Linked DNA regions of Yarrowia lipolytica. The protein of the gene in region 2 binds, or shares a complex with, the protein of the main gene of each other region. Links are inferred from orthologs where the notes say so. Each region holds a gene or a part of one and is shown on either strand. Other genes may lie near its edges. The genes, in order: YALI1_B06487g, YALI1_E31529g and YALI1_A02561g.

Region 1 (7,507 bases), on a different chromosome or scaffold from region 2:
TCGGCTGCAGCCATTTGGTTAGGCCGGATCTTTCTTCTGTCCTCTCGAGCCGAAGCCGTCGAATCACGCACCAACAGTGCTTGCTCTCACTCTCTCTTGTCCACCACCTTTTGCTGTGTCCATTAGTCTCACTCTCCAGACTCTTGGTGTCACGTTTGCAGCTGCCGAAACCCTATCTAGCCAGTCCAACCACAATCTCTTTATATTCCTTCTTCCCACAGTTGATTCGGCACTCGACCTGATCGACACTGCACCTCTGAGAGGCAACTGGAGAGAGAGAGAGACTGTAGAGTTGCCGAGGCCCATGGTGGTGGTCCTGCACGTGTAGACTTTTGTCAAGGGACGTAGAATGGGAAGAAAACGTGCAAAACGGAAACGGCAAGAGAAAATCAAATCTACGCACTCTCTAAACCACCTTTATCAACTTTGAACTCCCCAAAACCTCCTCCAAACTCCCCCAAACCCCCCCTAGAATCGTCCCCGACCCTTCGACCCCCACACTCTAATTTCGCTAAGCTCCAACCTACTCTCTCGCTTACCTCTCTGGCAGTCTAAATCTGTTCAGACAGTGTATATTTTCGGGCGAAACTGGCGCAGCTGTCCACAGCCCCTTTACAGAGCCCTACAGTGGCAAATACTCAACTGTACCGAAAACTCCCGACGTCTGAAACCCACATATACAGTTTCATACAGGCATGCATGCGACAAGGCAGACCCAGAGCCGATAGACCGACAGAGCTCGTCTGCAGACGTCGAGTACGAGTACCTGTCTTCACATGGGGTATCCTACAGAACCGTTGGCACATGTTAGGGGCGGAAAGCGGAAAACGGAAAGCGGAAAGCGGAAAGCCGGAAAGGGCGGAAGGACAGGTTTCGTGTGTTGATACTACATGTGGATACGATTGTCTGTTACTGGCTCCCGATGCAGTACAGTTGTTAGGTCGCTCTTGCCGTCTATAATAAAATGCTATTATATAGCAGTGTTTATGAAAGGGATGCATTATTCGTGAATATGAGCCGAAAAACTGGGTTCGGAGATACCGGAGTTAGGGGTTCGGCGATTAGGATTTCAATGTGAGAGTGGAGCAAGTGGGCTCCACGTGATGTTTGCAAGCGAAGGGTTGCTCGGTAGTCGGGAATTATCAGTACTATCGGAATGGGAACTGAATAACCAAACTCCGCTTGTTCTAAGCATCATTTGAGTCCTGTTGTAGTGGTATCAGGAGAACTAATTCTGAATGTACGACCGGATCAGTTGAAGTACAATATCAATATCACGAGTAACAGGTTTCTGGAGACGTCCAAAAACAATTCACTCACTCAACGTATGTCCAGCGACAGAAAATAGTGCTGCAAGTGATCAATGAAGGATACACAACTCCACTGTCCAGTCGAGGGATTCCGTAGAAGTTCACACTCTTGGAGAAGTGAGGGGGGCCAAAAGATTAGGCCACTCGAGTGGAGGGGAACAATGTCTCTCCAACCCGAAAGAAATGGTTTGGAAAGATTCGCAGTCAACGGTGTCGTTGGAGTTGACTGGAAGGAATCAGTGCAGTATTCTTAGGGTGTCGTAATCTAGAGAATGTGGCATGCTCGAAGTAGCCGTATTCTCGAGGGAGTTTGATCATTATGGGAACAGTGCTTGATGTTATACAGCAGTTCTTGTCGTCTATAGTGATGGATCCAGGACATCTCCCTGATTGGCAGGCTCGACGTTGAAAAAGAGTTGAAAATGGAGTAGAGAGTAGAGAGTGGAGAGGGTTCTATCGACTTTATGAGCCGTTATTATGACCCTTTTAACAGAGACCAGAATAACCAGCCAGACATGGTGGAATTAACTGGCATACTTGTTGCCATTGGCTCTTGCTATTGCTTCTTGCGATTGCTCTGTCAGGATCCAGTTTGTGAGATCCGTCTCAGATACTGCAGAAACTGAACTGAACCATAGAAGTCATGTTCGTCGTGTAGAGAAGAGAAAGACAGACGAATTTCTTACGTGAGACTTCTAGTCTTTTAAAAGACTCCATTTGAATATCATATCTCCTTGGCTTAGTAGAGAGAGATTCCAGCTGACAAATCCAAACTAACCCACATTCTAGACAAACTTGACAAGGAGTATCGTCACCCGTTGCCCACCTGAGAGTGCCCCATGGTCCCAATTAGGAGCTCGACGCGACGGATGCTCCTGAGTGGGAGTTGTAGACGACATGACATGATCATTGACCTTCGTGGAGACCTGGTGACCGGCGTAATGGCCTCGTTGGAGACCTAACCACGACCACTGGTAGGGGATGGGGTCTGTGAATAGATACAGTAAGAAGGAACTTTAGGGATGTGGGAAGCACAATCTTTCCAAGAGACAATTAATGTCTGAAATCAAATTATTCTCCACTCATATCTATGTCTATGCTCCAACTGTGTATGCTCCATCACTGTGTCTGCTCCATCGCCGTCTATGCAAGTCCCCCCAAGTAAACCATGCATCCCTTCAACCTCCCGTTGATGTAGTTGTAAGTCAATGTGACTCCCTCGTTACTCTTTCCCAGATCCTCCTCCTTGACATCATCCCCCGCTCGAGTCTGCTTCAGGGCTACCTCCAGCCCCAGCTTTTCTCGACATACCGTTTTGGCCCATTGTTGTTGCACAGGCCAGAGTGAAGCAAAGGGGTTCTTGCCGGTATTGACATCCACCAGCGCGGTAATGGCTCCACAGACGTGTTGGAGTTGTTCCAAGTCACTGTTCTTTGGCAGGAAGTAACACACATTGTCTGTGACCTTGAAGAACGCGTCATGGATTGTTCGCAACTCCAGAGGCTCCATGACGAACAGATCAAATTTCCCTCCATGTGATTTGTAGCTAGGCCCTCCCCAAGGCGGGCTTCCAAAAATGATATCCGTGATGGACTGGAACTCGGGACGAGCCAGAACCTCCAGGCAGTCTCCTACCACAAACTGAATCTTCTCCGAAACACCATAGACCCAAGCGTTCTGTTTTGCACACGTGATACTTTCGGGCTCAATGTCGATGCAAATAACGTGGTCATAGTAATGGGCCAGCTGAATGGCGTTTCCGCCAGCGCCTCCAAATGCATCCACCACCACGAGATTGGGATCAGGAAACCGGCTCCACAAATGCTGGGCTACCTGCTCGGCCACCAGTTCGGGGGTCGTACTGAACCATTGGGCGTTGTTGAGGAGCACTCCTTCGTCGAACTTGGAGAACAAAAAATGTCGCTGGTTGTAGTAGTTGGATAGTGACTTGGGAAGCGTAGAGTAGTCGGGCCAGTAGGGTGTATGACGGGTGTAACCGGCAGTTGCAGAACGGGGATGCTCTTTGATGTACTCAGGTTCGGCAGCTTCAGAACCAGAACCAGAACCAGATTCAATCTCTTCAGGAAGAGCTGGGGGAAGAGTCGTATGATAGATGGTGGAATCTTCTGTTTCTGTTGCAGCTTCAGTCTTAGACTCGCTGTCAGAAGATGAATCAGATGAAGAGGAAGAGGAAGAGGAAGAGTCAGCTTCAGAGCCAGAGTCAGCTCCGGAGCCAGAATCAGAGTGAGCTTCACAGCCAGAATCAGCTCCAGCGCCCGAGTCACTACCTCCACTACTACCCCCCACCTCAACACCACCCCGCGGAGGAGCATGCATGGAGTCCTCCTCAGGGCCATCTGAGTCTGAAGACTCAGTCTTGTCGGCGCCTGCGGTTGGAGCAAATTCTGTGTTAGTCTTGATTGAACTGACTCTGACATGAGAAACAAACCCACAGTTAAGTCCGAAGCAAAGCTCAATCGATAAACCACATGGCAACCGTCATCTCATGGCAAGGCACAAGCCAGACGTCTAATGGACTATACACACGGGACATCATCCTGCGGTCTTACTGCATAATGTCACCTCGAATTGGATACTCACTCGGACGGATACAGGTATCAAGGCGCGAGGAATATCAACTTACAACGAGAAAGATCCAACTGCAAACAAAACAGAGGAAACCCCTACTCATTCATAACGCCATCATGCGACGCGATCCACTTCAATGTCGCAGTGCAGACATTGCAAACCAGCTCTCAGCAAGACTAACCCGCGACAATAGTGCTAGCTGGCATGTGACGTGACCACCTCAATCCCCCTAAACTCCACCCCATACTCACCAATCTTCTGTCGTTTGAATCGATGAGACTCCACCTTCACCTCCTCTGTTCTGGCGCTGTTTAGAAATGCCGCCACGCCGGAGATGCCAACAGTTCTCTTCTTTTTCGCCATAGAGTCGTATGTGGGCAAGCTCAACCGGTCTGGCTTCTTTTGTGTCCTGGTTTCGACGTTGGTTCCGAGGTTGGTTTTTTTCCGTCTGGGATCTAGATTATGCAGCCTTATACTTTTTGGAGTTAAGATTTGGCATTTTTTTATTTTTATTTTTGAAATTTCAACATTCGGTTTTTCGCACTGCTTTTCTGCAACACAATGGTACGACTCAAGTCGCGATATCTGCTTTTCCAAATAGTCTACCCCACAGACACTCTGTCGACGTCGGAGGATGCCAAAACGCGGTTCCTCAAGATCCACAGAACGTCCGACGCCTCTGTGGTCAACGCCCGCAACCTGACGCAGATATTCAAGGACGAAATGGAGGAGTTGCACGGCGATTTGGGCGCGGGCTCGATCATGACAACGCTCAATGTCAAGTACTTTTCACCGGTAACGTCGACGGGCATAGTGCGGGTTGGGCGGCAGTTCTTGCGTGAGTTCTGGGCTGCGCTCACCAACATCACCGACATTGATAACACGCCCGTGGTGATCAACGTGGTGCACGTGAGTGCCACCATCAAAAAGTGCGAGATAGCGGCGATTGAACGCAATCAACAGATTGTGCGGTATCTGCAAAGGGGTGGCCTGGCCGTGAAGGAGGAGAAAGTGGACATGTCGGATGAGGAGTAACGAACACAGCGTTTCGGGTGAACCAGTTTGCGCCAGAAGCCGACTAGAGGTTTGGTGAGGGAGTGGGTTCGTGGAGTAGCCTGTATGGATGGACGATCTGCACCAACGGACCAGTTCACGCAGCATTACTGGTACCAGCACTTTGGCTGTTGGTGAAGAGTGAGTTTGTCGATTGGACTTTTAGTCAAAGGATATCGATGTGCTTCTTCTGAGATCGGGCATTGGAAGCATGTTTCATCAGGATATGATGGACCGTAGGCTGCATAGACTAAAGGATTTATTTATTCTTCACGAGCATTGTATATGAGGTGAACCAAGTCTCGCATACCATTCTAACCACAGTTGCAGTACGACCTCCCGAATGTCGGTTTACAGATGATCCTCTATCTTCAGTCATGACCATGACTGGAGCAAAGAAGAACTCTGTACTCAGTCTGGGCTCTTCCTTCAATCTGGAGTCCAGTTAGTTCGAGAAGACCAGCTGAGGCTCTCTCTCCCCAAGGCTAGCGTTGGGGAACTTTTGCCGCCTACAGTAGTTGTATTCTTCTCGAGCGAAAGTGAGAAATAGACCCCAGATACGTCACCGACTCTCAATACTAGATTCAGCGACGGAACACACGTTGTAGAAACCGGGTGAAGGGTAAAGAGCCAGGAGAGGACTTGTCTCTAGAGTCTGGGGAAGTTGTCTCTAGAGTCTGGTTGTCTTTAGATATCTGCAAGTTGGAAGCTGCCCCAGAGATGAGGAGAGCCCTTGACCGTATCACTTCATGGATTTGCGCCTTGCTGTGTCAGTACCGTATGGTATCCGTTGCTCAACCAGCTGAGCAGTAACACAATGAGAAGGAGGGTATTGTACGATCTGAAAAAAGGTATCTGAAAGAGTATCTGAAAGAGTATCTGAAAGAGTATCTGAAAGAGTATCTGAAAGAAGTATCCGGAAAAAGTTCAGGTTCCGGTCATATCTGTAATATACAAGTATCTGTCTGTCTCAACTGCACTGGTGACCAAGTACCACCACCAGGCTTACCGTAGGGGTTCGACACTTGTGCGAGGTCCAAGAGCTGAAAAAACAAGACAATTGCAATGGTCAATTGGCTATCTGGATAATCTGGATAATTGTGAGCTGTCTTTGACTGTTTACAGAGCATCACATCCTGGTGTCCTGGTACGCGAAGGCATGTACAAATATGCGCTGCACCATACGGTAAATGTGTTCTTGAATCTATAGTAAAAAAAAAAACCGCCAGTTGAACCAACAATGGTAAAAGGCTTATGAAAGCCTGGCGTTCATGAGAAACTCCCTTCTCCATAAAAAAGAGGTCCCACCGAGATTCGAACTCGGGACCTTAAGATTTGCAATCTCACGCGCTACCGCTGTGCCATAGGACCAGAAATATGTTCAAAAAAGGTGTCGAAGCATTTTATTCGAGAAGAATGCGAAAAAAAGTGCGCACATCGCAGATTCAGAAGTATATGATTTATTGAACGCCAATAACCCGGCTTACTAGGTATATAGCTGTAAAGAATCATTAGAAAAATACAACTGCTCAACCTCTCAAATAGATATACAAAACCGAGACTTGCTTGAGCTCATCTGCCCTTCCTAAACCTATACTACTGTACTGCAGTTGATCTCTGGCCTGTTTTGTTGATGCTGCTGGATTGGGCCAGAACAGACCTCAGAACGAAAGGAGAGTTCCTGATACCAATGGTTCACAGTAAAATAGCTGATAGTGGCACTCCCTGGGCGACACTTCTCCGGTAAAGGCTCCCTCGTCGGCCAAGAATCAGTTTGACCGACATCAGCATAGTGTGTGATACTATGCCGATTTGATAAGTTTTCGAGTCAGACAGAGCTGAGGATAAGACCCATGTATCAACTTCAACCACACTTGATTTGGACCACCCGTCGTTATAGGGCCCGTGTAGCTTCACTCTCGGGGGTCTGATACAGAACCAGAAACTCGCTGTTGCAGCACCACCTGTAAAAAGATACAGTGAAGCTGTCGAGGAGCTCAAATGCTCGTGTAGCCCTTTCATGTCGGCTTCTATTTGATGTCCATCTCACAAGATCCAGTAAGAGTTCCATCTATGTAGCCAGCATGAGAATATGCTAAACGAAGAGATGTTGTTCCTGTTCTACCTGGCAGCGACCACTGGCTTCTGAGCAGAAAGCCAGAAAGTTGTCTCGGGATTTGGATTGCAATCATGGCCGGAGAGTTCCTGGCATTGATGGTGGACTTTTAGACATAGTTACGACCTGCATACATGGCCATGAAACGGGGTATACCCTTCTAGCAAGACACTTGACGTCTAGAGCAGATTTGGCACTGTAATGTCAGCATTTATCCAGTGTTAAATCCTGAAGCAGATTTGGGGAGCGTTGACGTTTTAATGATTCTCCCCGGCTCTCTCCGGCAGAGATGGAGTAAAGCGACCTGCTGGAACAGGCCGTCCTCGAGAAGCGTCACTTTGGAAGTCTCTTTGGAAGTCTGACATCGGCCTCGTTGATTACTTCGAAAGCACGTTAGACAGGAAAACCCTTCAACCCCTGTTGGGGTTGTGTAACAGAG
Region 2 (7,763 bases):
CTCATCAATCACGTGAAACACTCGACTCCACCATCATCAAGTTACCCCACAAATGCCGGACCTTCGACTACTGTACTTGTAGCTAGCTAATCACGTTCACTGCATGAAGTAGGCGTGGTATTATGATTACATATTACTGTATGACGTCGCTAAAAAGCATTAAATCAGGACGGGCATTTAAAGGACATAAAAAACATCTTTTTGTATAGACATGTTGATATAAATATGATGCTCAAGACACGAGGATACAACAAATTTCATAATTTTCTCAACTCGTCACACCGAATAGCTGTTATTCCAAGGTCCAGTATTTACCCAACAGAACCTAAACAGAGGCATCATCTCATTAAGCTTCCTAACATTCCCAACGGTGACACGTACCAGTGTTAATAATGGTAACCTACTGTACGTCTTAGTATGGAAGTGCATTACGTGGTTTTAGCAGGCAGAACGAATAGTCAGCAATGAAATACGGAACAGGTATATGCTCCCACCGAAAGCAAAAATATCACAGGTACACCTTAACACACCACGTGATAACTTTGTTTGAAGGTGTTTGTTGTCCCAACTCTGCTGTATCAACCTTGTCTGACTCTTCCCTCCCCCTTGGTACGTAGCCAGCAGAGTTCAAGATACTTTTGTGGAGAGTTTGAAGCACCGTCTTTGGTTTCTTTCAACATGCTCAGTCAAGATCCCGAGTCGCAGATGCCCCAGCAGCGAAATTTTTCGAGTGAGTGACGTTGTGAACTTGAGTTGGTCAAGTGAAATTGGCCGTTGGCGTTGTTGCGCAGGCGTGTGTTGCTTCACAGACAGGCAGGTTGCCAGACAGCAGGGTGTTTGCATTCCGTGTCTCGTTCCATGCTCTCTGTGTAACGGCCACTAGCTCACGGCACTTGTGGGTAGCTCGTGCTAAAGGCATGGGTAAAAGCCCCTCTATGATTGGGACTTGCGGTTGGGTTGGGCTGGGTACAAACACATGCTATGCTCATCAGCTCAGCCGTGCCATGGGCCATCAACCAACTTTTCTCCCGACCCTAATCCCCTCCACACTACTAATGCCAGGATTCCACCACATCAACCCCGACAGTCTAGTGCATCTAAAGTCGTACCAGTACAGAGTGAGTATCACCAGTTTGGCGGTCACACGGTGACAGCAATGTGACAACAGCCATGGAAGCAAGGACAGAAGCAGGGGCGGAGCAGCAGCAGGGTCTGCAACAGGGACACAATCGACGTGTAAGAGATGAACCCATCAGTCTCTCACGCGACCTCATGACCAGTATGGCATTCGATGTGTCGTCTTGACCAATTCACACACTCCGTGTCATACTTGATTTAACTGTCATCACAAAATGACACGTTCAGTGCCTGAAACCGAACAACGCAACCACTGTGCTACATATACACTGTCGCCGCGATATCGACACGTCTATCTTCTTATAACCCCCTAACTCAGAGCGTCGATAAATCCTACCTGTCTAAGTACATCCTGAACCCATGGTGGACTTACGCAGCAACCTTCATGCCTGATTGGCTGGCTCCCAACGCCATCACTCTCATCGGTGTCTCCGGCATGCTCCTGTCAATCTTCTTCACCGTCTGGTACACCCCCGAGCTCACCGGCGACGGTCCCTCCTGGATCTACTTCTTCTCTGCCTTTTCGCTCTTCTTCTACCAGACCATGGACAATATTGACGGCAAGCAGGCCCGTCGAACTGGCTCTTCCTCTCCTCTGGGAGAGCTGTTTGACCACGGAATCGACTCCCTCAACTGCACCTACGGCGGAATTGTCAACTGCGGTGCTGTGGCCCTTGGTTCCACCTCCTACGGAGGCCTCATGGTTCTGTCCACCTGTATTGGTATGTACTTTTCTACCTGGGAGACTTACTACACCCACACTCTTTACCTGGGAGTTGTTAACGGCCCCACCGAAGGGCTAGTGGTGGCCCTGTCTACCATGCTAATCTCCGGCTTCATGGGCACCGACATCTGGAAGGAGGATGCCGTTGAGGTGCTCCCCTTCCTCTCCTTCATGGTTCCCGAGTACCTCAAGCTCAACGAGTTCTGGGTCTGGGTCGTCATGTTCACCCTCGTGGTGCTGCACGTGCCTTTCTGCGTGTGGAACGTCTATTGGGCCTGCAAGGAGGACGATGTGCCTTTCTCCGAGGCTCTGGTGGGCCTCCTGCCCTTTGGCGTGGCCGGAGGAGCTGCCTACGTGTGGCTGCAGAGTCCTTATTCCACTGTGCTGGTTGACAACCACCTTGTGCTATTTGGACTGACCGCCTCGTGGGTCTTTGGCCGGCTGACCACCGGTGTGATTCTCAACCACCTCACCAAGCTCGAGTTCCCTCTGTGGAACTCCACCCTGATTCCTCTTCTGGGAGCCACCGTTCTGTTCTACCTGCTCCCTGCCCTGGGTCTACTGCCCCAGGACAATCCCCACTTCGAGACTCTGTATCTGTGGGGCTTCTTTGTCTACGCTGCCGCGAACTTTTTGACCTGGGCTGTTAACACCATCAATGTCATCTGTTCCTACCTTGGCATCCGATGTCTGTCTCTGCGACCCGTGGACAACAAGACCAACTAGACAAAAATAGACGTTCAACTATAGAAGGGGTATGTGACATCTCACAAAAACTTGCAGGAGGTTCATACCCAAAATAATGAAAATATGAGAAAATCTGATCCGGTGCAGTCCCCCAAGGGCATTGGTATGTATATTAAAGATGTTGTAAGTGACGGTCGTATAAGAATGCGTCTACATCTGGAGTAAACTGTGACGGACATCCTGCGATATTCAGAAGTTGTAGTTGTAACATACCTCAATGTGTCCTACCAGACTGTAGTCCTATTACTTCACCTACTTGTAGTATGTACAGTATATAATATAAATGAATCATAATTCTATGTCGTTAATGTTCTTCCCCTTCTGTGATGCATTATCTGTCTTTCCTGGCAGTTTGGTGTGGGAATGTTCCTTTTTTCATTAGTCTTCGCCCAGTTTCAGGATCAAATATGAATACCCAATACCTGTAGCTAGATGATGCTGTCTGCATGTGACGCCAGCTACAAGAGATGTGTTCATTTTAGCAGCGGCAAAACAGCCTACTACACTCATGAGTGCATGCTTTAGACCTTCTGTTTCTTCCTCAACGGCTCTCTCACCTCCTCCGGCTCTGCAATCACCACCTGCTTATAACTCTTCTTTCTGAGCAGTCCGTTTCGAATGACCGCCTCTGGGTTCTTGCTCACAGCTTCTCTAGCTCTAGCCGAGTTCAGACCCCAGATGTAGCTCAAGTTCATGATATCAAAAGGGCCCCTGAGACTCAGGCTGGACAGAGATTCGCTTGAAATGACAAGTCCTCGACACCGGGCTGCTCTCACTACCAACGAGTTGTTTGCAATCGATGTTTTTCTGGCCAGGGGATCACTGGACAAACCCGGTGCATAAACAACCTCGATTTTGACGCCTCTTTCAGTAGCAGCTCCGATGGTCTTGTGTTTCGGAATGCATGGCAGACGGCGAGTCATGTCCATCGACACAATGTCGACATCCAGATTGGTACAGGCGGCCTGGAGCATTTTTTCCGACATGGGTCTGATGGCCACAATATCAAACTGCTGGTATAGGTTGGGAAGGTTGAAGCTGTGGTTGAGGTCCTCGGCAACAATGGTCACTCGCGTGTAGATGCGTATATCCGGGAACTCTTTGTGGATTTCGTCGGGGACGGGACATTTGAGAGTAGCGGGAATCTTTCCCTGGTAGATGCAGTTGAGAGCCACGGCCTTGTACCCCAGCTCCTGTAGAAACAAAATGGATGCCTTGGCGGAGGATATTTTGGCTCTATCGGACGGCGACGCGGCATTGGGGCCAGATACAGGCCACGGGATGTTCAGATCGATCATTTCGGGTTGTACTTGAGGATAGTGGAAGGTAGAGAGGCTTATGTTCAAAATATTGCATACTAAGTTTTGGGTGCATGGGAGGTGCAGCATCAAATGTTTGAAGGTCATGGAGGTAGGGGAAATGGAGGGACTGATTTGCAGCGAAGATATAGGCTGATAATCTCATTGACTTACTTCGATGTTGATTGGTGATCCCAGAGATAGGACTTGCTGTGTGTGCGGTTTAGATGAAAGAAGGCACTGGTAAGTATAGAGCTAAAAGATGCTTGGGAGTTTAGTTGAGTATTGTGAATGAGAATGCTGGTGAGAAATTTGGAGGGCATGGGTGTGTTGCGCGAGCTTGAAATAAAGCACTTAATGGACTCAGTATTGGAAGCACAGTAACTGTGTTGGTTAGAAATCAACCATAACGAAGAATGTGGTCTCTGAAGGACGTCTGTGGTGTGCTAGAGTGGAACGCGTTTGGGAAGCTGGTTTTTCTATAAGCGAAGATAGGATCTATAGCCCTGAGAGAACTTCACTAAGCTCTAAATAAGAGTAGGGAAGAAGAATTGTTACAAGTTGGTACCTGTGCTATGTTCTACCTTGGTGTAGACTCATGATGGACAAAGTCTCTAAGCCTCGAAAGTCAGAAGGTTGTACACAACGAGTCATAAACTTGAAGATGATGTACAGTTGAATGAATCCCAGCTAAAAACTCTCCACCTTCGTAGCATGTCTTGCCGTTCGGGTTGGTGGTTTAATACAAGTACAGGGCTCGAGGTGTGTGTGTGTGGGGCAGACATGTCATATTCAAAGCTGTGGAGTTCAGTACGAGTGGAAAGAAGAGACTTTTATGTTCGATACTCTGAGTATGTCTTTCTTGAAGCATTCTGGAAACATAAGCTCAGATTCTTTATTATATGAGGACTTGTAGGAGAGGAATCAGGAGAGGAATCAGGAGAGGAATCAGAGATAGGAAGACTGGATAGTTGCGATAACTTTGACGTAAAGGTGTAGAGTGGACTCAGCATTAGATCTTATATCTCCAACAGGAATATTTCTTCAAATCAAACCAATTTTCTCTTCTGAGCTGGAGCAGTTGATCAAAGCGTCCCTGCACCTCCTTTCTATACTTCGAGGTGGTTGGCTTCTGAACAACTTCTAGACCGACTGCCTGGCTGCAATAGCTCTCTATATATTCACTCTTGAGTCCTCGCATATATACCAGACAATCACCCACTGAACCAGTGCATGGCCACACCACGATCTTCCCACTCACTCTTGTATTCCCCTCCTATCTGACACCCATCACTTCTCCTGTTTCAGTGACACATTCTTCGGCGGCAAGACGGCGTCAAGTCAGGCAGGGGTGGAGCGACCAGTCTTATAATAAAATACTGGCTGATATGAATAAAAAAGCTGAAACCAGAAATGAGAGGAACAAAACGGTGATCTAAAAATATCTCGTCAAAAAATAAATCTAGAAGAGTCGCGTATGTATGTACCGATTCAGCGCCTGAAATTCTAGTGCAACGTTACAGGATGTACGAGTACAGGGCACAAGTCAACTCTGTTGGGCTCCACTGATTCGCGTATCAACGTTACATATCAGGGTGGATGCGAGCTACACTGCTTGTAGTCGAGGTGCCTATCACTTGTCAACGCGTGTGTACCGGTACTTGTAATTAGAAACAAACGACAACTGCTTTTCCGACGTAACGATTCAGTACTCCAGAATCTGCCTCTCCAAGTGCTCCTTACCAGTTCGTCGTATTGCACCCTATTTGCTTTCCCGACAGCCCCCGGCATGCTCCTGGATCGGCTTTTTTTTCTCGCCCAAGTTTGGCGTCCAGAGCTTGATTGAGTCACGTTTGGGAAGCATGGCTAATTCAAGCCAGGAGCATAGTAGTGCATAGCCACAGCCTCCTATGGATCGTGTCCAATCAGAGAAGTCTATTAGTTGATAGCAGGATTCCGTGCTGGAATCCAAGTACAGATAAAAGTACAGAATACACTCCTATCGGTCTGTACGTATGAGTTTCGCAATACTTACGGTAATAGTATTGTGCTGTTGCGTACTTGTACTTGTTGTACGTATCTGTCACCCTGCACCTTAGAGTTCAGCCACGAGAAGACAAGAACATCAGAGTGACAGACAAGCATGTATGGCAGTAGAAGGCCAAGAAAGAGCACAAATACTGTGAATATTGCGGAGTCTGACAAATATCAGATTTATGTAACACCAGAACAGATACAATAGAATAGCTCGGTTCCGTAGCTCACAGTATACCTGTTACAAGACTACCAGTAATACACTTATCGGTAGCCCGCATGTCAGGCCTAGCCCTGTACAGCACACGTCGACTGTACATGACCTCAGTACAGTGCAAACAGTGGGGTAAGAGAGGGTATTTTTTGAAGCAGAAATACAAGTAGTTGAAGGAAAAAAGAGGGGGAAAAAAAGGGATGCAAAAGAGACCGAAAAACACGAACGACGTGACAACCAGACAGACAAACAGACACACACTCATACACACCTCATCAAGTCACGTGCGACCCCTTTTCCAGCCGCGCAACCGACCTTTACAGTTTGTGTACACTTGCCGTTGCATACTGTGCGTGAATCAGTCAGGAGGAGTGATGTGGGTGGGATGACAATTATGGGCTGGAGGGGAGGATATACAATACACAGGTGGATGTTGGTGACGGATATGGATAGAACGAGTGCCTGGTACCAAGCATGTACTGTTGATACGCCATCGTTATGGGAGAACTCGTAAGTACAAGTACTTCAAACCTCGGTAGATCTAATTACTGTGCCTCTCCACACAGCAACTGAAGAGAGACACATTTATTATGAGGCTGCCTGGCAACCAATGAGCAAATAACAGGACATCGTATGTTAGTTACACTTGTACGAGGGGGGGGGGGGGGGGGGTGCTGAACCGCTCTTCCGATCTAGTCACACATTAATTACCTCTTGGGGAGCGGTTTGGGGTTGTTTCGTGTATGCTCATATGTGTGGCCCAGGTTGCCTGACCATGTATGATCATTGTGTAAAGGTGTCCTTATTGCGGCTTGTTTGTTTACGCTAGTGGCAGGCAAAAGATGGTGTTAGATAGGTCTGTGTGCGGCCGTAATAGTACGAATAATACAGTGGAATCAACACTAGCCGACGGTGTGACTTGACTTTCCCCCAAAACACCATTCTTTTCCTCTCTCCTTCCTACACATCACGATCCGTCTTGTCGTCGAACCTGTTGCACCCCACACGAGACATTTTCCCACCACTGTTGAGTCGGCCGAAATTGGGTTTTTAACTTGTGCTTGGCCCTCCGCTTTGGCTTTTTCTCTTTTTCTCCCTCCCAATTTTACACTTTCACACTCACTCCCAATCGCTCTACTGCCATCCCCTTCCCTCTCCAAGGCTGCTCCCTTTTTTCCCCTAGCCCCCACCACCCCCCAGTCTGTCACCTCGACGACACACCTCTCAGTCTGAGCGAGCACTCGGTCCCCGTTGGCAGCAGCCGTCTATTTGTACCTTCCCATCTGGCGCCCTCACCGACCTCGGCACGACACTCTCGACGTAACGACTCGACGTAACGACCTTTTCGACAAGTCACTGCATCCACCTCTTCACAAGCACACACAAACACATTAATCACGGCTACAAAAACGCAGCTACCAGCTTTGTTGCTCAAACCCGCTAATCGCTAATCCACCACCAACATCAACATGTCTCACCATCAATCATCCAACGTGGTGGGCGTCCACTACCGAGTGGGCAAGAAGATCGGAGAAGGATCATTCGGCGTCATCTTCGAAGGAGCCAACCTGCTTAATACTCAGCAGGTGGCCATCAAGTTCGAGCCCCG
Region 3 (7,462 bases), on a different chromosome or scaffold from region 2:
CTTTTTGTCCTCCTTTACATCCAAAGACGGAGCCGTCTTGTCTTCATTCTTGACACCAAACGAAAAAGCAGAGGGCTTATCATCTTTCTTGGCCTTCTCCGGCTTAGTCTCCTTGTCGTCCTTCTTGTCCTCGGGCTTGGAACCGAATGCTCCAAAGGACAACGTGGGCTTTGAATCGTCCTTTCCCTTTTCCTTCTCCTTCTCGGCTGCAAAGCTGAAGCTGCCAGTAGCAACACCAGAGGAAGATCCAATTCCAGAGCTAGAAGTGCCAAATCCAGAGGGAGAGCCAAATCCACCAGACGACAGCTTGGGGAATCCTCCAGTAGCAGGCTTGTCGATGCTGGACGAACTGAACAGAGAGGGCTTCTCATCGTCCTTCTTGTCATTTCCCTTGTCGTTGTCTTTCTTGGTTCCAAATGAGAATCCAGAAGGCTTGTCCTTACTGTCCTCAGTCTTGTCCTCCTTCTTCACACCAAAACCAGTGAAAGCCGGCTTGTCGGACTGATCTCCCAAATTGAACCCTCCAAACGTAGGCTTGTCGGTGCTAGACTTGTGGACCGAATCCTTGGGTGTATCGAACAGAGAGGCCTTGGGTTTGGCCGGGGTGTCAAACAGGCTTGGTTTTGTGTCCTTCTTGTCGGAGTCGCCATCCTTGGGCTCCGCGGGTTTGGCGAACGAGAATCCGCCGCTCCCGAAGGCCGGTTTGGCCTCTGTGTCTGTTGTTTTTGTGTGTGTATTGTCCGAGTTTGAGTCCTCCTTCATGTCGTCAGACTTGGCGGTAGTGGCACCAAAGTTGAATTGCGGCTTCTGACCAAATGCGAAGGTCGGCGCCGCTCCTTTCTGGGGCTTTTCGCCGTCACCAGCGTTCGAATTGGACATGTCGATGGAATGTGACGAGGTAGCACTGTCGATGTTTTGAACTTGATTTTTGGGGCCCTGCATTACGAGGTTATTTTCCTGTATGCATCTTACTGCCAACTGAAAGAGCATTGTAGATCGCTACGAGTGCGAGTCCAAGGGCCAAAATGACTGACATAAATCTGAAAAAAAAAGTCTCAATTCGTTCCTGGACCGCCCCCCAACTTGCCCCATGCGATGTAATTGAACCTCTCGGCGCCGTCTAATCGCAGCAACGTGCAAGTCCAACCACCCCCCACCGTCTAAAGAAGCAACTACAAGACCCTGGATAATGATGTCTTCAAAAAAGCTCCCAAAATCGCCTAATTTGCGTATATATATACTCCATACTGTAATATGCGACTGTAAAAACGATAATGGGTACTTTGCTGCAGTTACAGTTCCAACACTGCCTCTTTGTCGACCTTTTGCAGCCCCGTTGGTGTCCTACTACTCAAATATTTTTTTCAAATATTTAGTTGACTTAATTTCTCTTCTCCAACTAAAGCTAACCAATTACCCTCCCAAAAGAGCCTTCTTCAAGTACTGCACGGTACTTTTCCTACATCAAAAATTCTGCACTCCCGTCAACAAAGTTTCAGACTATCGTGATCTTTTTTTCGAAATGAAATTCAGCTAATTCACACACATGGAGCTCACAGACGAACTGGCGGCAATCTCCATCGACACAGAGCCCCGCAAGGTGCTCAACGAGGCGCCCAAAAAGGGCAAGGGCAAAGTCCGAAAGGGACAGAGCGCGGAGGAGTACCAGAGACAGGTGGATCTGTACACCTCGGGGCCTCCCGTTCAGACCTTGACAGTGAGTACCTCCACAGCTCACCAAATCACTTACATTGGTTCCTTCCACTAACACAGTCAATCCTGGAAAGAGACTACAGCAACATCGACGGCATGGACCGACTCGACAGACATGCTGTACGACATGCTGCGGAACGGGCTTACTTCCTGAAAAAGTACGCGGAATGTATCAAGGTGGTGGACGACAGCAAGTTGCTGGAGAGTCCCGAAGTGGAAAAGAAACACGCCCGAGACGTTTACGAGATTCGTGTGGTCTACGACTCGGCCAAGTCTCTTGTATAAATATTTATTAATGCTATCCCTATTCAACAACACAACGCTAGTGATCCGTGGTCCCATCACTGATCCCTTTGATATACGCGCACCTCAATGGTACTGATTATCCGCTGTTGTTTGACAATCTCCTCATCGCTGTCCGACTCGTCGTCTCCATCCACCTCCATCTTCTCTGACGTCTCGTGAGCCACCTTGATCTCATCAAACAGAGTCGTTTGGCCCGTGAAGATATCCACCTTGTATCCCTCTTTCTGAAAGCGCAGCCCCAGGCTGATGGTCTTGTCCACGCACTTTCCCATGCCCATCATTCGAATGTACTGGCGCCTGGGCTGCTTGCGACTGGGTTTTAGCAGCTTGGTCACCTTCTTGAGAGCAGACACAAAGGCCATTTTGCTGGACACATAGAAACAGTCCTGCGACGCCTTTCCAACCAGTCTGATCGGCGCATGCTTCACTATCGTTCCCTCCACCCGAGTTCGCTTTTGTGCCGCTGGTGCCATTGTTGTGTCAGAGATTGAATTATAAATTTCAGCAGATTATGCAGGTGTCGATAATTGTATTAGTCAGCTGAGCAGGGCCCAAGCAAGGCGCGAAGTTGCATCAGTTCAACATATACAAGCGGTTTTTACAGGTCAAGGAGATGTATGAGCCGAAAGCAATGTTATGACCCTCTTTTAAGAGAGATTTTCGTTCCCACAGTGGAGATATAGCAGAGTCGATCCGGACGAGTTATAATAGCCAAAATCAGGTGAACTTTGATAGGGCAATTTCGGCTTGGAAAGGATCCACCGTGGTATGATGATATCGTAATATCGTAGCTACCGTATTGAATAGTGCGAACAGTACGAACAGTACTCGTAGTTAGGTGAAAACGGAGAGCTATTAGCCTGGTACAGTACCTACAGTTCATACTGCACCTACAACACACTGTAGATCCGTACTGGGAGCACTGTATGTACTGGGACTGTACGATATGAGAACCAGCAAAGAAGTTCCATTGCGGTATTAGTGGTATATTCCAACTGCTTACTAATATAAATGTCCCCTTGATCCTGTCTTCGCTATTCATTAAACATTTTCTATCAATACACACCTCTGCTATACACTCGTGATATGGACCCCTACCCCAATCACCTAACTCTTATCAGGCATGAAGTTTGGTGGACAGAGTTTGGTTTTAACATCAATGAAACGAGGGATTGAACGACACGTGGGCAAGTTCTACACGCGCAAAATCGCGGCGAAAAACATCAAGGTCGAGCGGCGGCAGTCCTCCAACGACGGCGAGGCCATCCAGCGCTTTTTCGAGCAGCAGCAGCAGGTTCTTCTGGCGCAGACGAAAATCATTGCTCTGGACGGAGGCGCAGTGACCGTGCCCGAGGAGGAGCTCTATCGCATGGTGGAGACATTCTGTCGGCATGGCAAGGGCGCGCAATGCTGGCAGTCGCTGTTCAAGGAGTGTATCGAGCCGCTGACGACAAAGTGTTTGGAGAACATTGAAGCCATCAGCCAGGCCGGGCTCAAATCGATCACCGCAGCTTTTCTGGACGAGTACGACATGTGGAGAAGCCGCATTCTCAAGCTGCAACTCATCTATTTCTACCTGGACCGCAGTTTCCTGCTTCAGAGTGGCAATGGGGGGAGCGACATTCTCCGGAGATGTCAGGATCTCGTCCGAGACAGGATTTACGCAGTTATTAGCCAGCGGGTGGAGACAGATTTCGCTTCTATCTTCGCCAATCTGGTTCGTGGAGCTTCTGATTCGGCATTGCTGCTTCAGCAGTGCGAGAATGTGGTTCGAGAGCTCTGTGGAGAGTCCAGTGAGCAATATCAGCGCATTATCAAAACGGTGGCGGTGCAGAGTCGGCTCTACTTCAAGTTGCAGGCTGAAAAGTGGCAGATTATGAGCCCCGTTCAATATCTTCAGCTGGTGGTTGATACCCAAGTCACAGAGCATAGACGCATTCAGGAGCTGATAAAGGACTCATCTCGGGTTGAAATGATCATGTCTGCCCTTCCCGAAGAGATGATCGTTCCGCATGTCCAGTTCATTCGCAGAGGAGTGACTGAGTCGTTTGAAGATGAACTCATGTTCCCTTACATTCGTCAGCTGTCGTTGTTGTCGTTCGAGGGCTCTGAGCAGCAGCTCAGAATCGGTGACATCTTTCGCCAATGGATCGAAACTGTCCTGGGACCCACTTTTACAAATATCGACATTGTCGTGCAGTCGTACCACAAAAGTAGTCGAGTCACTGAGGCACTGGCAGACGCAGATCTCATCAACAAGGCACCGGACTGGGTGGCAGGGTTCAGAAACAGCATGAGGGGTAAGAGAAACCTATCTGAACAGCTGGCCAAATTCTCCGACTCGCTACTACGAAAAGGAGCTAAAGGAGGAGACAGCTTGAAGAATACGGCTGATGTTAAAACACTCACATTTCTGCTCTCGTGCATCCCCGAGAAGGACGTGTTTGAAGTCTACTACAAGCGATACCTCAGTAAACGTCTGCTGGTGGGTCGAGCACTTGGTCTGGAAAGTGAAAGCGAACTGTTGACCATTCTACGAGACGAGTTTGGACCTGAGTTGACAGAATCCATGGAAACAATGCTCAAGGATGTGCGAACCAACTCGCCCGCTACCATGGCGCAATATCGCGACTCTGAGATATACACAAAGTACGGCAACTTCGACCTGAATGTCAACATGTTGAGTCAAAACGCATGGCCGCAATTTCCGGCTTCCACATCACCCATCCGGCTACCGTCGCAAATGTACTCGCAGCTAGACAACTTTTCCAAGTTTCTCAGCCAAGATCCCAAGAACACAAAGAAGAAAGTCACCTGGCAACACGCTCTGTCCTCGTGTACAATCAGAGCACATCTCAACGAAGACACCAAGGAGTTTGACGTGTCTCTGCATCAGGCGCTAGTGATGATGCAGTTTGTGGATGAGAAGAAAAGACCGCACATAACCTTCGCGGACCTCCTGGCTGCTACAGGTATTTCTGAGAGAGAGTTGACCATGTCTCTACACTCCCTCATGACGCCGAAGGTGAAGATTCTCATCAAAGAAGAAGGGGATGAGACACGGTACAAGTTCAACTGGAATTTTAGCTCGAAACTACGACGAGTAAAGGTGCCTTCCGTCGCCAGAGGAGCAGACGATATCATGTTACCCCATAAAGCCATTCAGGACACTTTGGAGAGAGATAGGAACATGGAGATCCAGGCTGTCATTATCCGAATCATGAAAGCCAGGCGGACTGTGGGACATGCAGAACTCGTGATGGAGGTGTTGGATAAAACGAAATCACGAGGCATTCTAGAGGTGGCGGACGTGAAAAAGAATATCAGTAAACTCATTACTGACGACTTCATTTCCCGCCAAGGACGAGATGTTTACGATTATGTAGCGTAATATTTATAAGCCGATGGCTATACAAAACTCATCAGTGAGGCTTGTTGGATACGGCTTTTACGCTGCATTTCTACGGGACAACATTTCATAACTGGTAACACTGCTTGTAGCCAGCCTAATTCATTATATAATAGAGTGAATATCCTTCGCGACTACTCCGCATCAAAAATGACATAGGCGTTCACCAGAATAGTCTCAATGACTCGGCCCTGGAAGCCCATCTCGGCCACATTGCCGTAGTCCGTGTTCATCAACGTAGGACCCCAGACAATGCCCAGGTTTACCACCGACATTCGGTTGATTGCCTCGCGCTCCTGGATTCGGTACAGGTGGAAAATCAGGTACCGCAAAGTTGTGTAGTTAGCGTCGGGAAGCTTGTTGACGGTTCCATGGAGCGCGTCTCGTCGTTGTATCGCGTTTTCAATCATGGCGCCATCAATGAACTCCTGATGCAACTCCTTGGTTAGTAGACAGTCGGGCAGCTCTCGGAAGTAAAGCTTTAGGGCAGAAGCCACCGAATGAATGTCGTTGAGGTTGTCTGAAGGATGCAGCAAGTCCACCTTGGACGGGTCTGTGTCAAACAGATGCTTGATTTCTTGGATCTGCGAGTTGTTTCCATTGGCTCGGTAGATACCCTCCACTTCCAGACCGAAATTGTCAATGGCCTGCACGCACTGGTACACTGCTCTCGGTACGGTTCCACCCTCATAGTCGAGAAGATCCTCGATGGGAGTGCCGTAGACAGGCATGGAGTCCGTCACACCAGGGGGGAACTGCGTAGGCACCACCGAGGAGGTCACCGACTGCTGGTCCATAGAGATTGTGGGCTGAATGGGAGGAGGAGCTGTGGTAGAAGAAGTGGAGGCCACTCGAGAGGCAGCGATGCCTCCGATCGTGCCAGCAGCTCCACTAGGTGCAAGGCTGGTCATAGAAGACGCGCCTGGGGGCTGCAACACGGAATTGGTGGTTCCCGAAGACACGTTTCGCTGTCCCACACCTGCCGAAGAGGGAGTGGAAGATGAGAATGGGGAGGGGTTTGAGGAGCTGGCAAATGGGGTCGGGCCCTTGACCGGCCTGGACACCGAGGTGGTGTTGTTGTTGCTGCTGGAGTAGTTGAACGACGACTTGGGGCCTGCACGCGACTTGTACTGAACCACATCTCTGTTAAGCCGTTGTTTTCGAGGCACTGCCATCACCGAGTCAAAGAAGTCCTTCTCGTTATCAATGAGAGCAGCGTTTTCTCGCATGGAACGAACGTTGGTCGAGGTTCCGGGAGGCTTGAGAGGCGAAACCACAAAACCGTTGTTGAGCGCCAGAGTCTCGCACACGTTTGCGAACTTTTGAAATTGCAGTGACATGCCGCTGTCGCACTCAAAAATGAGATCCTTGAGATCCCGTGATGCTTCAGGTCGTCGCACCCGCAGCAGCTCCTGTCGCGACCGTTGGGCAGCCGACACCTTTTGCTGGTAGTCCTGGTCGGCAGCCTGGACCTTTCTTTGTAGCTCCTCCTCGTGCTGGACCGAATTTTTGGTTGTTTTGAAGCCAAACTTGTTCTTTGTGGGGTCGCCAGTTCGTGCCCGTTCCAGATCGTCGTACAAAGACTCGTACTTGGACTTTGCCTTCTCTGCAGCCTGCTCCAGGTCCACCAGGTTCTTCTCGTGCCGCAGATGCGTCTCCTTGACCTGCTTTCGGGTCTTTTCTGTGGTTCGGGCTAGCTCTGATAGCTCGTCGTTCATAGCATTGAGCTTTGTGACAAATGTGGCGGACACATCGCTAACCCGCTCGCCCACACGTGCAATCTCGTCAAACTGGCGATAGAAGGTGCCCTGGCGGTGCTCGGGCCGTTTGATGGCGTCCCGTGTGTTTCGCGACAGCTTCTTGAGATGTGTAATGTGGTCGAGTTCTAGAGCTCCTCGCTTTTTGATGAATTGCGCAAACTCCTTGCACGACACAATGCTCTGTTTCGAACGGGCCAGCAGCGACGAGATTCCCACGTCCGATAGCATGATTTCCTGCAGCTTGGGGTCCTCCAGCAGGTGGGTGCTCTTCTGG

What was found.
Region 1: YALI1_E31529g (region 2) and YALI1_B06487g share a complex: the UniProt entries of both Saccharomyces cerevisiae proteins name them as parts of the nuclear RNase P and RNase MRP complex. The link is inferred for Yarrowia lipolytica from reciprocal best matches to the Saccharomyces cerevisiae genes RPP1 and POP5.
Region 3: YALI1_E31529g (region 2) and YALI1_A02561g share a complex: the UniProt entries of both Saccharomyces cerevisiae proteins name them as parts of the nuclear RNase P and RNase MRP complex. The link is inferred for Yarrowia lipolytica from reciprocal best matches to the Saccharomyces cerevisiae genes RPP1 and POP7.

The regions. Positions count from the first base shown.
Region 1 is NC_090771.1:645,732-653,238, reverse strand, and holds YALI1_B06487g (uncharacterized protein), read left to right. Parts: upstream 1-4,460; coding exon 4,461-4,934; downstream 4,935-7,507. Other genes in the region: YALI1_B06514g (uncharacterized protein), read left to right, coding at 1,630-1,714, 1,758-1,936; YALI1_B06508g (uncharacterized protein), read right to left, coding at 2,096-2,324, 2,393-2,430; YALI1_B06489g (uncharacterized protein), read right to left, coding at 2,454-3,715, 4,151-4,262. UniProt on the Saccharomyces cerevisiae protein: Component of ribonuclease P, a protein complex that generates mature tRNA molecules by cleaving their 5'-ends. Also a component of RNase MRP, which cleaves pre-rRNA sequences.
Region 2 is NC_090774.1:3,148,875-3,156,637, forward strand, and holds YALI1_E31529g (uncharacterized protein), read right to left. Parts: upstream 4,015-7,763; coding exon 3,130-4,014; downstream 1-3,129. Other genes in the region: YALI1_E31498g (uncharacterized protein), read left to right, coding at 918-1,118, 1,457-2,587; YALI1_E31540g (uncharacterized protein), read right to left, coding at 4,919-5,166, 5,219-5,222; YALI1_E31555g (uncharacterized protein), read right to left, coding at 6,416-6,661, 6,704-6,739; YALI1_E31565g (uncharacterized protein), read left to right, coding at 7,624-7,763. UniProt on the Saccharomyces cerevisiae protein: Component of ribonuclease P, a protein complex that generates mature tRNA molecules by cleaving their 5'-ends. Also a component of RNase MRP, which cleaves pre-rRNA sequences.
Region 3 is NC_090770.1:253,701-261,162, forward strand, and holds YALI1_A02561g (uncharacterized protein), read right to left. Parts: upstream 2,493-7,462; coding exon 2,055-2,492; downstream 1-2,054. Other genes in the region: YALI1_A02546g (uncharacterized protein), read right to left, coding at 1-990; YALI1_A02552g (uncharacterized protein), read left to right, coding at 1,547-1,717, 1,774-1,998; YALI1_A02568g (uncharacterized protein), read left to right, coding at 3,143-5,410; YALI1_A02615g (uncharacterized protein), read right to left, coding at 5,563-7,462. UniProt on the Saccharomyces cerevisiae protein: Component of ribonuclease P, a protein complex that generates mature tRNA molecules by cleaving their 5'-ends. Also a component of RNase MRP, which cleaves pre-rRNA sequences.